3 linked regions of the Saccharomyces cerevisiae S288C genome follow. Changing the gene in region 2 together with the main gene of any one other region gives a genetic interaction. Each region holds a gene or a part of one and is shown on either strand. Other genes may lie near its edges.

Region 1 (5,979 bases), on a different chromosome or scaffold from region 2:
CTCTAGTTGTCTGCTTAAGAGGCGAAGCATTCAATGCGGTGTTTGTATACATAAACTTTTAGAACTCTCAAGAATCCGCATCAACGGAAAGCCAAGGCAAAAAAGAAAAAAAAGCAAATCAAATTCAAAATTACGTATGCAACTACGAAAATTTGGCTCCCAACATAATCTTAAGGGCCTTCGTCATCACTAACTGGTCCAAAAGAATATCGCAGATGCCGAAACTATCACCTTTTCATACGTTGAATTTTTGAGAAAATTAATCACTTACAAAGACTCCTCGAAATTACGGCAAGGACACCCCCTGAAGTGCACAGCCGCACAGCCGCACAAGTCGGATTTGGGAAGACGACAAAGAGGGGACTTCTAGAACAAAATTGCTCCCCAGCGTCTTTTAAGGGAGGGGGTTGCAATGCAAAAGCACCCTGTATATCATCAAATCTTGCATTACTACCCGCAGTTTGTACTATTTACAAGGACGTAAAAGTGGGATGAACGGATGGAAAGATGAGATCACTATTCCCTGTTTTCTGTCTCCGCTGTTATCCCCTGCTTTCGATATAAAAACATTAGCTAAATACCCTAACAACTTATATTATGTTAGAGATCCTATCTGTAATTCTTATCCGAAATTAGCCACTTTTCTAGGGTTTTCAAACAACCATAAACAATTACTTGTATTGCGATCACGATAAGCATTAAGTATAACCTCATATATTTCCGTTTCTAATAATCAATGTCCTACAAAAAGTTTGTGTACTTTATTAACCTTTTCTTTCTACTAGGGGCTACATTGTTGACTTTTTTTCTGATACTAGCAGGTGGCAGGACCACAGGAGTGTTGAAGAATTTTTATTGGTTTCAGGCATCCACTTCGGGCTTTAACTCGGCGCCCTCCGTAACCAGATGGTACAATTATAACTGGTGCGGCTGGGAAAGCCGCGGAATAGCAGTCAACTGCTCTTCTAAGATGGCAGCTCAGCCGTTTTCACCAAGGGACAACTTTGGCAGTTCCCCCCTCATGCCCTCAACTTTTTTAAACAACAGAAATGCCTACTATTATCTTTCAAGAGTGGGCTGGGCAATGCTTCTAATCGGGCTTTTCTTTTTGTTAATCACGTTAGTTTCGGTTATTGCCAGTTTAATCAGATACAATAGACGTACCGCCGCTCTGGCAACTGCAATGAGCTGGATCACGCTTTTCTTCATAACCCTATCCGCTTGTCTGTACACAGGATGTTACGCTAAGGCAGTAAAGGCGTTTCACCATGAGAATCGTGATGCTAGACTAGGTCCCAAGAATTTTGGGCTTATTTGGACCACAGTATTTTTGTTAATTGTAAACGCCATTTGCTGTACTATCATGGTGGCTACTCATAAAAGAAACGAGTACATCTATGACCGCAGTTTCGCTTCTACCAAGACAGTGGACTCACAAACTCCAACTCCAGTTCCAACAAATGGAGGAATACCTTCCTCGGTGCCTGTAACTGAGGTCCAACAATCTCAATCCCACCAGAATCATAGGTTCTTTAAGAAATTGAGAACGAAAAAGAGAACTGTGACTAGCGCAGGCGATGAACCAGACCGGGTTCAAGAGGAACGCGTCTATACTGAACAGAATGTTCCTGTTGTATCATAGGGTGCAAAGGAGGCTTTTTTTTCCCTTATTATTAAAGCTAGGATTACAAATAATAACAAACCTAATTGCAGCGATTAGCCTTCTCCTATTCTCTGTTGATACCAATTTTATTTATTACTAATATTTTGCACCGATATTCCACTAATCTTTTATGTTTCCCTAAATATAATATCTTTAATTCTCAACCTCTAATAATACTAATACTATACGTCAAACAATGTAATGATACCATCTAATAAAAAGAAATCGTATTTTAACTTCCTTTTAATGTATCATACACATCTTACTAACTCTTTTTCTTTTCTTTTCACTATTTCGACAGCAATGAATTAGACACAAACCAAGAGTCTTCTGCTACACAGCACGGCTTCGGCTACCATATTGACAAATCTTATGACAGGATGCTGGGTTTGGGCCAATCTGCTCAAGCATATGCAAGTGATGATGCTCTCAATATGAACCAGGCAAAGGATAAAACGTACAGCGTTCCAGGGTGTGGCAGGGCAAGCGACCTCAAATATCCTCATCGTGACGGACACTCTTCGTCTCACGAACAGCGCTCTGGAATTTTACCAACTGAATGCCCAGGCCCTACTTTAAACACCGGTGCCGGTAGCATCGGTATCCCGGGATGTGGCAAAGTCACAAATAGAGTGGTCAGTGACTATAACAAAAACGCTAGGTCTACGCTAGCCAATTTTGATAGTAGTAAAATGACCGAGGCAAGAATGAACAGCAAGAACGTGCCGATTGGTTGTCAAGACACCTCTGATCCGCACTTCAATGGGCCTATCGACCAACATGTTCCCGGTGCAGGTTCACCTCAAAGTCAACCTCATCACATCGACGCGTGGAACAGCGTTTCTTCTCGCCGTGCCGATAATAACAACCAAGACATGATGGACCCCCAAACGGCTTCCTCAGACAGGTACAATGAGAAAATGATGAGAGAAGAAAATAGCGGCGTCTCTGCTTCTTCTTACACCACTAAAGTGCAGGGATATCCCGCAAGTATTCCATCATTCAATCAGGAAACTGAGGAAAAGGAAACCTACGCCTACGGTGTGGGTGATCGGCACAATGTCCCAAGAAACCAAATTATGGATGAGACTAATCCTTCGGCTAACGTTCTAAACGCTACTGATCATAGTATTTCGCACCCTGAGAATAAGGTCTTGCATAAGTAGTTTTTGTTTTTCCTACAGTTTTTATTTATAACCAACCTTATACTTTTATATCCTTGTCTACATATTATTGTCATAACGAATTTTTTATTGGTTAAATGCAGCTATTGCGTTCTCTTTATTGCATAAATATATTCTATTACAATATGGGAGGGCATTATCAGCCTCCATGTGCTTGCGTGCTGTCAAAGAAGGAGTGCGGGGATGACAATATGAATAGCCGCCGAAATTATGCCCGGCTGCAGTTGACCGTATAAATAACAGTGCTTCAATGAAAGGACACAAAAAGCAAGATCGTCCCATTTTCTACCTTAATCAGTATAGTAAAAATCAAAAACATAATATATTACTGTTATGATGAATAAAGTAGATCAAATCATCGGTTACAAAAAGTACGAAGTGAAACTACCAAAAGATCGACAAGTAAAGAAAAATAAATCAAAAGGTGGAAATGTTGATCAAATAGATACTAAGAGGGAAAAGGATAAAATGAGAGCTTTTGGTGAAGAAAGGAAAAAGTTCTTAGATAAAATGGCTAAAAACAAAAAAAAAAATACAAGTAGAAAAGATAGAGAGAAGCCAAAAGAAGTAGAAAAAGAAAACTACAAAAGAGAAGACAAAAGGCTAAAAGAACAGAAAAAATTATCACTGGCAAAAGAATTTCGTTTCAAAGAACCGAATTCAGAAGCCATTAATCAGAACACAGCAGCTGAAAATGGTAAACCTAAACCACAGACTGGACTAGATTTTGACATAGACCATCAAACCGTGTCCAAGATCATGATAGATCAGGCTATTCAAACATCTAGTCCTCTTAATGTCCAACTCACGGAACTTTTCAATGATAACGTCCTCGACGTCTCGAAAGATAGTCAGTTTGTCCTTCAAGACATGGAGTTCACCTCCTGGGAACGACGCTGGTCAAACTGCAGCACGACCAGTAATGCGACTACGGTCTCATCAGTTCCTGATCCCAAATATAATATCAACTACAACGACATAACCTCCTTCAATTCAGTAGCGCTAATTACCGAAGATCTTAACATATCTGCATCATCTAATGGTCTGCATGAGAGAGGTAAAAAGCTACTGCAGCAAGAGATGGAATACTCAAACAAGGTCAAAAATGTCACCATCGGGCTTGAAAGATTGTGTATGGATGAAAAACCAGTCCCAGATGCAGGAATAACCATGCAACAAGCGTCGCGCTGGTCAGAATTCCCCACTTGTTGCGATCAAGCTGCTATTTAGCTTTTCTAATTTAAAAAATTTATAAACTTCTTATAGTATTTCATCTTTATATCAAATACTATTAGCAAAATAAAAGGAAAGGAAAGGGAAAGGAACTTCTTTAGACTGCTTCGCACTGATTCTATCGCCATCCTTCTTCATGTTCTCAACTATTGGATATCTGCTCTATTTAGAACAATCGTTATTGTTACCCGCGTTAAATGGGGTAACTGATTGCTGCTTTTTTTTCTCGTTGTTTTGGACCTTTTCGGACATGAGAGGTCAAAAGAAAAAACAAACACGACCAAGTAAGCCGGAATAAACAAGTATAACCACCTGATTGAATTGCCTTCTTTAAACAAGCACAGACCTCCAAAAAGAAAAGGCTTTTGAAACGCTGCTCACGCACAGTTGTTTATTCCGTCCACATATTTTACGTGTCAGTTTCCTTTCTGTCTTCTCTTTATTCAATCAATTAGCATTAAAGAGAAAATAAGTCGTGTACTTTGAAAACCTTCTGTTCCTGTTTTCTTCCCGTATTTTTCATTTGCTTCACCAGCTTTTTCTCAACTGATCATATCATTTCAAGTTAAAAGTCTTTGTCATCACTTTTCTGTGAGTTGCAAATATTTGTAAGCGTCACTTACCTAGAGCAGCCTTTATCGATCAATATTTCAGAGGGAAAAACCTGTATCTCTTAGCATGCAAAGTTCAGTTTATTTTGACCAAACAGGGTCATTTGCGTCCAGTAGCGACAACGTTGTGTCTAGTACCACCAACACACACAACATTTCTCCCAGTCATCGTTCCAGTTTGAATCTGAACACTACTTCTCATCCCCACGAAGCGTCGGGTAGAGGAAGCGCAAGTGGGGAGTTGTATTTGAATGACACAAACTCACCCTTAGCGATATCTTCTATGCTAAACACACTTGCCCTTGGAAGTATGCCCCAAGACATTGCAAGCAGCAACATTAGCAATCACGATAACAACATTAAGGGGAGCTACAGCCTAAAATTGTCAAATGTAGCCAAGGATATTACTCTCAGAGAATGCTATGCAATCTTCGCTCTTGCTGAAGGTGTGAAAAGTATAGAATTACAGAAAAAAAACTCTTCATCAAGCATCACTTCTGCCTCATTAGAAGACGAGAATGATATTTTTATCATTGCCAGATTTGAGTTATTGAATCTAGCTATTAATTATGCCGTTATTTTGAATTCGAAAAATGAACTCTTTGGACCCAGTTTTCCCAATAAAACAACCGTTGAAATAATAGATGACACAACAAAAAACTTGGTTTCATTCCCATCATCTGCCATTTTCAATGACACCTCAAGATTGAATAAATCGAACTCGGGAATGAAAAGGCCAAGTCTGTTATCACAAAGATCCAGGTTTTCATTCAGCGATCCATTTTCCAATGATTCTCCTTTAAGCCAACAGCAATCTCAACAGCAGCAGCAACAGCCACAACAGCCACAACAACACTCTACGCAAAAACATTCACCACAACAATGTAATCAACAACAAGTGAATTCTTCAATACCGTTATCTTCTCAAGGCCAGGTTATTGGGTTACATTCTAACCATTCACATCAAGATTTGTCTGTGGAATCAACAATTCAAACATCTGATATTGGCAAATCTTTCCTTTTGAGAGATAACACTGAAATTAATGAAAAGATATGGGGCACAAGCGGTATACCTTCCAGCATCAACGGTTACATGAGCACTCCCCAACCTTCTACGCCAACTTTAGAATGGGGAAATACTTCTGCATCCCAACATGGTTCTTCGTTCTTTTTACCCTCTGCAGCATCGACAGCCATTGCACCTACGAATAGCAACACCAGTGCCAATGCAAACGCCAGCTCCAACAATGGAGCCAGCAATAATGGTGCTAACCAGGCACTCTCTGCC
Region 2 (3,200 bases):
ATATGATTTTGTTCAAGCCATGTCAACCTCATTTATGGTACCATCTTATTCGGCTTTATCAAAATAGTATATAGGCATATACATGAAATATTTTTTTCTTTTTCTAAAAAACCTACATGTTTAATGTGAGATATTACGTAAATCAGTTGGACGTATCATATTTCCTCACTAATTCATCGAATTTTGCGTCAATTTCTTGGTGATGCTTGATGAATGCATGTTCGTGATCCAATTTAACCAATTGATTTGTTAAATCTTCAGTATCAAGACCTTGCATAAGAGCAAGCGTAATTTGGTTTGCTAAGAAAGTAGGTTTGTACAATACGGCGTTTTCTTTTTGTTCGACGCTATAGTAGTCAGATAGTAATAGCTCGACAATACCCTGAGCTTCAGCTATGTTTCTTTGCTGTAAATGCAAATTGAGCAATCCCAATTGAGTTTTCCAAGTAGGAAAGGTTTGAGATAGCTCTTCATAGTAGTAAAAGTTGGATGTTGCCGTTTCTTTGTTTGTGGCAAATTTAATGTACGATTCAGCCAGGTTTAAAATCATTTCGTTGTCACCGGAAACAGTATCCTCAATAGCATTAGTGTAGTTATCAAAGATGGTGGACGCGGTCGAAACGTTGTTGTTTAACAAAGCGACTTCGATGGCAAGCAGCAATAATTCTGTAGTCCCTTCTGCTTCGTCATTGTCAATCCCTTCTACACATGTCTCCAAACTTTTATCTAAGTCACCCAAGATAGCTTGAGCCGTGGCTAACAGATATAATTCATATGGTGAATTCTGTTTATCCTTTAACAAATTTTCTAATTCTTCAATGTTTTTTGTATCTAAGAACTGGACGTACAAGTCTAGTACCTTGCCAAGCTTAGAGGTAGGATCTTGTGATTGATATTGGCCTAGAGCTAAAAGGGTTTTCGCCTTGTAGAATAATAAGGTGTTATCTGTGACCTTGCTAAACTTCTCTATTTCCTGCAAACATTGCACGAAGTTCCCCGTGTAGTAATTCTGCTTGATATTAAAGTAATCCATGATTTTTTGTCTGTTTCTATGTTCTCCACCGAGTTCTTCACAATCCGTTCTTATACTGTAGCTTGACGTGTTTTTCTGTAGAAACTGTAGTTTTTCGCTTGACAAAAAACTGAAAAAGAACCAACAAAAAATTAAGATCACCTTAAAAATTAAAAATAGAATATCTTTATCCCATTGAAGACGCTGCATACGCACCTATACAGCAAGACAAAAGATTTTATACAACATTACGGTTCCAATTGAATGTAATGTTACTATATAGTGTGGACACTAAAGAGTGAGATCAGCGGGCGTCCTGATCGTTGCGTTGGAGCCATCTCCTGAATTCCATTTTAGCAACTATTGTTCCGGTATAACCTCTTTTGCAGCCTAGAATGTTGTGAGTACTAAGACAGATACCATTTCACCAGCTTGTGGCTCCCAATTCTTTGACATCAGCAGCACGCTGCTACAGTCGATCTTTGACGAGACGAATTTTAATAGCTAGCGTAACAATCCGTAACAGGAAATTTCGTTCATAGTTACTTGTTTATACATTATTTCCTTCTTTTTCTGTGTTTTTATTTCCGCGGGTGTAAGTCAAGCAAGGGTGAAAGCCTTATGAGCTAATGCTACTTTGACGCAGAACAGAACTTTTTATGTGTCAATGCTTAATATGATTTTCGTTTTAAGGAGCAGCCTAATTTCAAGCGTAGAACAAGGTGATGTTGGGAAAAGAAGAAGAACAGCAATATGGCCAGAATGGTAAGGGAATGGAAAATGAACTACCCTTTATGAAGAGGCCTTGGTTTAAAAAGGCTTATGAAAATGCTATTGAATTTCATGAAAAAGACGAATTGCTGGATGCAAGAGACAGGCTGGAGTTATCGAAGGCCTATAGATCCATTGCTAAAGCTGAGATGTGGGGTGGTTGGCTTGGGTTTTCAGCTGTATTTTTAACTCCATTTGCCTATCGTTACTACAAGACCAAGGCTATTAAAGGTGTTAAGGTGCCGAGGAATTTTGTCTTGGGTGTAATGGCTTTATTTTTTGCTACAAATTTTGCTGGTAGGTCCATGTATACACGACAGTTGAACGAACGTGACCCCACAGGTGTTTTGAAGGATAACTATTCCAACAAATATGGTGACAACGACTTTGGAGCCTTTCAACATGATCAAACAAAAGAAATTCCGAGAAATCAAAGGCAGTACAATATGATGCGCTTATTAGATTCAGGCTCCCCCTCAAGGTGGTCGATGTACTTTTACATAACGTACCAAAATCCGGAGAGAAGATTGCCAGACCCGAAAGTCAAACTGCAGCAAATGAAAAAAGGCGGAGTTTTTAACGGCTCGCCCTTTATGAACCAAAGGGATCCTATAGGATTGTATCGTAATAAGGGTAGAAAATCTCCTGACCCAATTGAAGGAGAGCAAAACGACAGTCCTGTTCTGTCTTCCTGGGAAAAAATCAGGAACGGCGACAACAGTTCGTCTTCATCATGGGAAAATATAAGGAACACCAGTAGAGATCAGTCGCAGGAATCAGATGCTTCAGTGGATCATGAATCCGATATATTTATCTCAGGATTTTCTGACGATGGTAATGCTACCGATAATTCCTCTTCTGATGACAAATATCAGCGTTTACTGCAGAGCGGGAGATATGGTGGGAACCGCTCCTAGACGACGGAGTAATAATAGCGTATGGTCACTAATTTGTATATAGGTATATGTTTGGGCCAAATTCGGCGGGTTCCTGAATTTGTTTTTATATATTCGTAACTTAAACACTGCCGGTGAACACCATCTGCATACCAAATTGCTTTCTTCCATATTGAATTCGCGCACATCTTATCGAAGGAAAAAAAAAGAAGAAATAGTTAATAGAGGTAAGATTCCTTCATCATACTCATTTTATTCTTTACAAAACATAAATTAAATAAGTCAAAATTTAACTACATAAAATCTCATTAAGCTAAGACGTTGTCACCTCTCTTTTCATCTTTCAAGTTACGCAACTGTTTCAAAACTTCTTCAACAGAAACAGTAGCATTTTTACCCTGTTGTTCCATAACGTCTCTGTTTCTAATGTTAACAGATTTTTCATTCATTTCTTGTTCACCAACAATAAAAATGAAGTTATATTTTAGCATTTGCCCGTTTCTGACCTTCTTTTGCAGAGT
Region 3 (6,521 bases), on a different chromosome or scaffold from region 2:
TAGGTTGTTGCTCTTGCTGAAGCAGTACTTGTTGCTGCTGTTGCAAAAAATGTTGTTGGTATTGCTGGAGTTGTTCCTGTTGTTGTTGCTGAACTTGTTGGTGTTGTTCCTGACGTAATTGTTGATACTGCTGCAGCTGAACTTGCTGATGCTGTTGCAATTGCAGCTGCTGGTGTAATTGATATTGTAATTGTTGTTGAGTGTAGTTTTGGCCGGAAGGAATCCTGTTACATAGTAACATCCCGCTTAGACTATTTGATAAGCTCATTCCCGTGGATTGCAATGCAGGACTACCCGCAAGATCGAATGAACCATATCTCTCGTTTGGAGTTCCACTTGCTTGCTGCGCTTGGGTCTGTGGTTGAGATTGCTGCTGCACTTGCTGCTGTTGCTGAAGTTGGAACGCACCCATATTTCCAGAAGGCAATGGCGGTAATAGTAAGCCATCGATACCTGAATTCAATCTTTCAGGAGAACCAAAACCAATAGTGCCATTTTGAGAGAAAAAGTTATTCATCATATCTTTCTTATTGATGGTACCCTGGAGGCCCATACTTAGAGGAGTCATATTGTTTTTGTCCTCTATAGGGGCCGATGACTTTTCCTCGCTCTCACTCTTAGTTGTAGAGGCGCTTGATGGAAAGGAATCATTGGATGAGCCTGAAGCTTTTACCGCTGATTGGATATCATTGAACGGTGTCTGCTCCTTCTTGATCGTAGGAGGTAAATCTACCGATGAATCAGACTCCACGCTACCGTCTGCCTTTCTCGTGACATACTTCACTACTGTTGCTCCTCTACCTTTCCTTAAATGGATTGGTGTATACTGACATTCCAACTTCATATTTGTGCACTTCCTACAGGCTGGCTTCCCTTCATCACACTTAACTCTTCTTCTTTTACAGTTATCGCACCCATTCTTTGATTTGTTATGGAATTTACGTTTACCGGTTGAAGTCGTACTCACCTTTTTGCCGTCCACTTCAATTAGCTCGATGACTTTTTCTCTTCTTCTGGGTTTTGTCACCGCTTTCTTGTGATTCTGTATACCGACTTCGCTCATACTGCTGAACTGTAAATATTTGTACTTAACTTTTTTTGATTCACTATTTCTGGAAAGCTCAATTTTGTTTTAGTGTTGGATAAATGAGAAAAGATAGTTCCTACAACTTCAAAAAGTTAATGTATGTAAAAAATCGCTGTTTAGAGGAACAGTCAGCACTATCGCACCCTGAAAGCAATATCAATCTTTGACAAAAGAAGTGTCTACTTTCTATGCCGCGACTTTCCAAGTAACTTGTATTTGCTGATCCTGCCAGGGCGGCGCATATATAGATTTCGACAAGCACATTCACTGAAGACAATAGAATAATATTCGTTGGGCGAAAATTTGACGCGATCCCGCTAAGGTGCGCTCGTTTAGAGAAAAAAATAGCTTGGAAAAAACCTTATTTAGCTGCCACATTTAGACAGAATAACACAGCCACTATGGGAGATATTCACCCTGGGGATCATGTTTAGAAACAGGCTTAGCAGTAAGCGCAATTGAATTCATGGAATACACTCCGCATTCTTTTTTATTGCCGCCTTACTAAAATGTAACGCTAGCGTTAAGCTTTTTTCCTTTAACAGGGTTCCTGCTCGTTTACGAACAAACACAATAGTTTGTAGGGACCCGCTTCTGCATTTGGACAAGAAAAACAACTCAACGAAGTCCTAATAGGTACGCGTTATTACGTATTAGTCCACCTCGCACGTGAAAAGCTGGGAAGCGCTTATCAACTGCCCAGAGTTAGCGATCAAATTCAAAAATAGAACTAGCTGAAAAAAATATAATTAAATTTTATATAGGTTTATTAGTTTACATGCAGATACAGAATCTCGTTCGGATTACGCAAAGAATCAATGATCGTGCGGATCTTCTTTGGGTGGTTCTGGATCCACTGTAATCATTGTATCAATTCTTAGAATTGCTACACAAGCCTCCAATGCTGATTTCAAGGATTTGACTTTGCTTATGGTTGGCTCAAGAACACCAGCGTGAATCTCGTCCACAATTTTACCTCTAATCAAATCTAGGCCGTAATTTCTGTAGCTTCTCCTCTTAACGTCCTCTGGCTTGGCCATTTGACTAGCGGCATGGTAGGACCTTAATTTTGCAACTAATTCACTAGAATCCTTGGCAGCGTTAACAGCTAAAGTTTTTGGAATGATTAATAATGCAGCTGCAAACTCAGCAATAGCTAACTGTTCACGAGAACCAACTGTGGTGGCAAAATTGTCCAAATAGATATTCAATGCGGCTTCAACGCAACCTCCACCGGGGACAACATTTCCACTTTCAAGCGTTCTTTTGACAACAGAAAGAGAATCGTGCAAAGAACGTTCCATCTCATCTAAAGAATAATCGTTGGCACCTCTTAAAATGATCGAAGAAGATGAATGTTTAGAAGTACCCTTAATTAAGATACACTCATCATCAGAAAATTTGGCTTGAACTACTTCATCACAAAGACCTAAATAACTGCTTTCGAAAGTTTCCTCACCTTCTAAGTTAGACATAGAACTAACCAAAGTGGCGCCTGTAGCGCGTGCAATTCTTCTCAAATCTTCCTTCTTACAGCGTCTTACACCCATTATCTTAGCTTCAACGAACTCCTTTAAGCATAAATCATCAATACCTTTGGTGGTTAACACAACTTGAGCACCAGCATCAATGATCTTCTTCACTCTTTCCAAAACAATACCAGCTTCACGTTTACGGATTTGCTCCAATTGTTCCGGATCATCAATGTTGATTTGAACACCCATTGCCATACGAGCTTTCTGCAAGTTCAAATCCAAACATGCGATTTTCACATTGCCACCGGCGATACGTTTAGGCATTGCTTGAGAAGCAACTGTACAATTCAAAGCATAACCTGGCACCAACAGTGATTCAGTGGCAGATTTACCATGAGCTTTCAACACATTGACAGCCTTTACGGGATACTTGATTTCTCCTTTGGAATTTTGCGTCTTAACAGCCAAAAGAGCATCTACAACCATATTGCTGAAAAAATCAGAGTCAGCACCAATGATCTTAGAGGACATACTAGTCTTGGCTATATTAATTAACGTCTCTTTCCCTAAAGTGTCAACACTTGTGGAAAGAACTTCATTTATAAAACGAATAGCCTCTCTTAATGCAACCCTGAAACCAGTTATGATGGTAGTTGGATGAATCTTATTTTTGACTAATTCATTAGCTCTTTTCAACAACTCAGAAGCAATAATAACAACACTAGTAGTACCGTCACCAATTTCTCTGTCCTGTTGTTGAGCCAATTCTACTAAAATTTTTCCAGCTGGATGTTGAACATCTAACAAAGACAAAATAGTGGCACCATCGTTGGTGACGGTAAAATCACCAATGTCATCAACAAGCATTTTGTCCAGTCCAACGGGGCCTAAAGATGACTTGACGACGTTAGCCACAGCCATAGTAGCCAAAACATTCTGATTACGAATATCATCACCACTTATTTTTTCACCTCCTAGGAAAAGGGTATCTGAGCGCGAGTTATTGAATAATTGGGACATCGCTAAGTTATTACAAATATAAAAGTCTTCTGTCTATTGTTATTGTCCCTTTCTTGTACTCTCTCAGTGGCCTCTCTTTTGCTTAAGTTATTTACTCTTCATGTGATACCACCGCATTTCAATTTTTTTTTTTTTCAGTTCTTTGCCACTTAGGACAAGGTCCCTCGGCAAGTGAAAAAAAAAAATCTGAGATTATTATTTCAGTAGTACTACTGAGGATAAAAACTAATATGATAAAAAATATATATATATTTGCTTTTTGCTTCTGTAACATGTAAATTACTAAATCTATATAGCGCTCACCTTTTTCTCATATTAAAGCCTTTTTATGGTAATACATGATTATGCAGGGTACTGCGTGGACTTTTATTCCTCTTCTGAGGAAGATTCTTCGTCAGCATTCTGTAACCACTCAACCCACTTTACAGTTAATTTCTTGACTTCATCATAGCGAGGGTCAGTAGAAACATTATCCCACCATTTATAAATGACATCCTCCTCAATTATGTCATTATCGTATAGAGAAACCAATGCACTAAATAGAATCAAATCCGGTTTGTCAAAACTCTGTTCTACAATTTTTTCCATTATGATGTTCATCAAATCAATATACTCTTCTTCATCAAAGGCTTGTCTCTTGAACAACAGTCCCCACTGATTAAAAACCTTCACCACAGCGTCCTTGGGACCTAATGTTTGAGTTGCAATAAAGTGGTAAACTCTTCTCAATAATGCAGTTATTGTTGCTATTCTCACCTCATGATATGTCACGTTCATACTCATTCTCAAGGTGTTCAATTCTAATAATGCTGTGTCAAGATCATGATTGTTTTCCATAGCACGCTCCACGGTGGCAATACCTTCTTTCTCAAAATCTTCGTCCTCAAATTCAGAATCAATTTCTTCTCTATCCGTGTATATACTATTGACAGACATCGTTCTTCTTTTCTTTGTCTTTTTAGTGGCGGAAGAAATTGAATCGTCACTTAAGTATAACTCATCTAATTGGTTACTCAAAGTGTTTATTTCTTTGCAGGCTTCTGTAGAACTATCTTCATCGTCAGACACCTCGCTTTCGTAAATATAACCAACACCCTTATCTCCAACAATAGAAACGGCTAGTGTCTGATCATCAAGGTCTTGGTCAAACTGCTCATTGCTTTCATTATCATACATTCTTGAGCCGGCATTTTTTAATGGACTGGCAGATATTTTTGTGTTTCTATCTAAATCCATATTATCATCAATTTTAACGTTGAAACCAATTATACAGCCATCATTTAGGCGTACATTACTCCCTAACGTGGCATTAGAGGCAATTAATGAATGGTCAATTATACTGTTATTTCCGATGATACAGTCATCCCAAATGAAACTGTTCTTGATTCTAATATTTTCACCGATTTGGCAGTTCCTTCCAATCACGGAATTCTCAATTTTCGTACCCTCTCCGATTTTTGTTCCTGATCCAATTGCAGTGCACTTACCAATTTTACAGGATTGGGCCAAAACAACGTCTTTTTCCTTGTATATATGTCTTGATTCATAAGAATACGTTTGATCGTCCTGTATGTTAGAGTCTAAGACCAAGGGATAACACCATCTACCTAAAAAGTCTTGAGAAATGGTGTCGTAAGTTTGCCAACTTTCAACTCTTACAGCATATTCGTCCGTCAAATAGGCATATATATGCTTTCCCAATATATCGCTTGAAATGACACCTTTAACAAAGTCTGTCCTTAATGATTGGTAGTCAAAATTTTCTTGAAATATCAAAGGTACATGAGATGTACAAATGTCAATTCTACAATCGATGAGGTCATTCCTTATGACAAATTCATCGACATTATCCAACAATTCTGGGTCAATCTGAATGGAAGTCTTCTCTCTAGAGCTTGGTAATGGTAAATCTTGGTAATAAATACACCTACTGGTGGATTTGTCTAAGACAAATGCGGCAGGCTCAATAGTTCTTGTTTTTGGATAGGTACTCGCTTTGCTCAAACACATTGTCGAGATGTGATCTTTATCTTGCAAATGCATTTTTTTGTGAAATTCTAGCATTTTGCTGAAATCGATGTTAGTCAATACATCACCACTGACTAAAATAAAATCTCCAGTAATGATACCTCTATTATCTAGATCTCTCATAACATCACCCGTACATCTAGCTTCTGGAGACATAATGGTGGTAATTTTAAATGGAGACCAAGGCAAGTTCCACTTAGAATTCTCAATATAGTCATTAATTTGGTTGGCATGAGAAGAGCAAATTAAGAAAACTTCATGTACGCCAGCCTTAGCCAAAAATTCTAAGGTGTATTCAATGAGAGGTACGTTAGCCAGTGGCAGCAAACACCTTGGCTTGACAGCTGTCAGTGGCATAAACCTAGTTTCATAAGAGTCTGTCAAGACAACGGCCTGGAGACGATCTTCAACATCCATATCAGAGTTCTTTCCATGGTTGCCTAGTCCACTTTTCTTTTGTCCCTTTTTTCCAGCCATCTTTTGCCTTATGAGTGGTTTCTATTCTATTTTTAACACAAGACCACTTTTAGTTATTTTTATACTTATCCCACAAGGTGGTCCATCTGCCATCTTTGAATTGGTGATTTAACTCTTCGCATTAATCTACTGAAAAAAAAAAAAAAAAAAAAAAGAACTGAAAACCATCTAAAGTCAAATAAGCTCATGTAATACGGGCATGTTGCAAACGCGTGTGAAAAAAAAAGAGAAAGTGCTCGAGGTGGGGTTTGAACCCACGACGGTCGCGTTGCTTTTAAAGGCCTGTTTGAAAGGTCTTTGGCACAGAAACTTCGGAAACCGAATGTTGCTATAAGCACGAAGCTCTAACCACTGAGCTACACGAGCATTTTCGAAAGAGACGTAAATAACATTGTTATTTATACTGGAATTAGTACTAATAATTTTATTAAAAA

The links. Genes that interact genetically often act in the same process or in processes that back each other up.
Region 1: mutations in RCI37 (region 2) and SLZ1 together harm fitness more than expected from each alone (negative genetic interaction), as found in Saccharomyces cerevisiae (one large-scale study listed by BioGRID).
Region 3: mutations in RCI37 (region 2) and TCP1 together harm fitness more than expected from each alone (negative genetic interaction), as found in Saccharomyces cerevisiae (2 studies listed by BioGRID).

What each region holds. Positions count from the first base shown.
Region 1 is NC_001146.8:268,373-274,351, reverse strand, and holds SLZ1 (Slz1p), read left to right. Parts: upstream 1-3,180; coding exon 3,181-4,077; downstream 4,078-5,979. Other genes in the region: YNL194C (uncharacterized protein), read left to right, coding at 737-1,642; YNL195C (uncharacterized protein), read left to right, coding at 2,044-2,829; mRNA-binding protein WHI3, read left to right, coding at 4,759-5,979.
Region 2 is NC_001141.2:214,491-217,690, reverse strand, and holds RCI37 (Rci37p), read left to right. Parts: upstream 1-1,737; coding exon 1,738-2,700; downstream 2,701-3,200. Other genes in the region: SEC28 (coatomer subunit epsilon), read right to left, coding at 143-1,033; threonine--tRNA ligase THS1, read right to left, coding at 2,988-3,200.
Region 3 is NC_001136.10:884,293-890,813, reverse strand, and holds TCP1 (chaperonin-containing T-complex alpha subunit TCP1), read right to left. Parts: upstream 3,583-6,521; coding exon 1,903-3,582; downstream 1-1,902. Other genes in the region: UPC2 (Upc2p), read right to left, coding at 1-1,063; GCD6 (translation initiation factor eIF2B catalytic subunit epsilon), read right to left, coding at 3,949-6,087. UniProt on the Saccharomyces cerevisiae protein: Molecular chaperone; assists the folding of proteins upon ATP hydrolysis. Known to play a role, in vitro, in the folding of actin and tubulin. In yeast may play a role in mitotic spindle formation.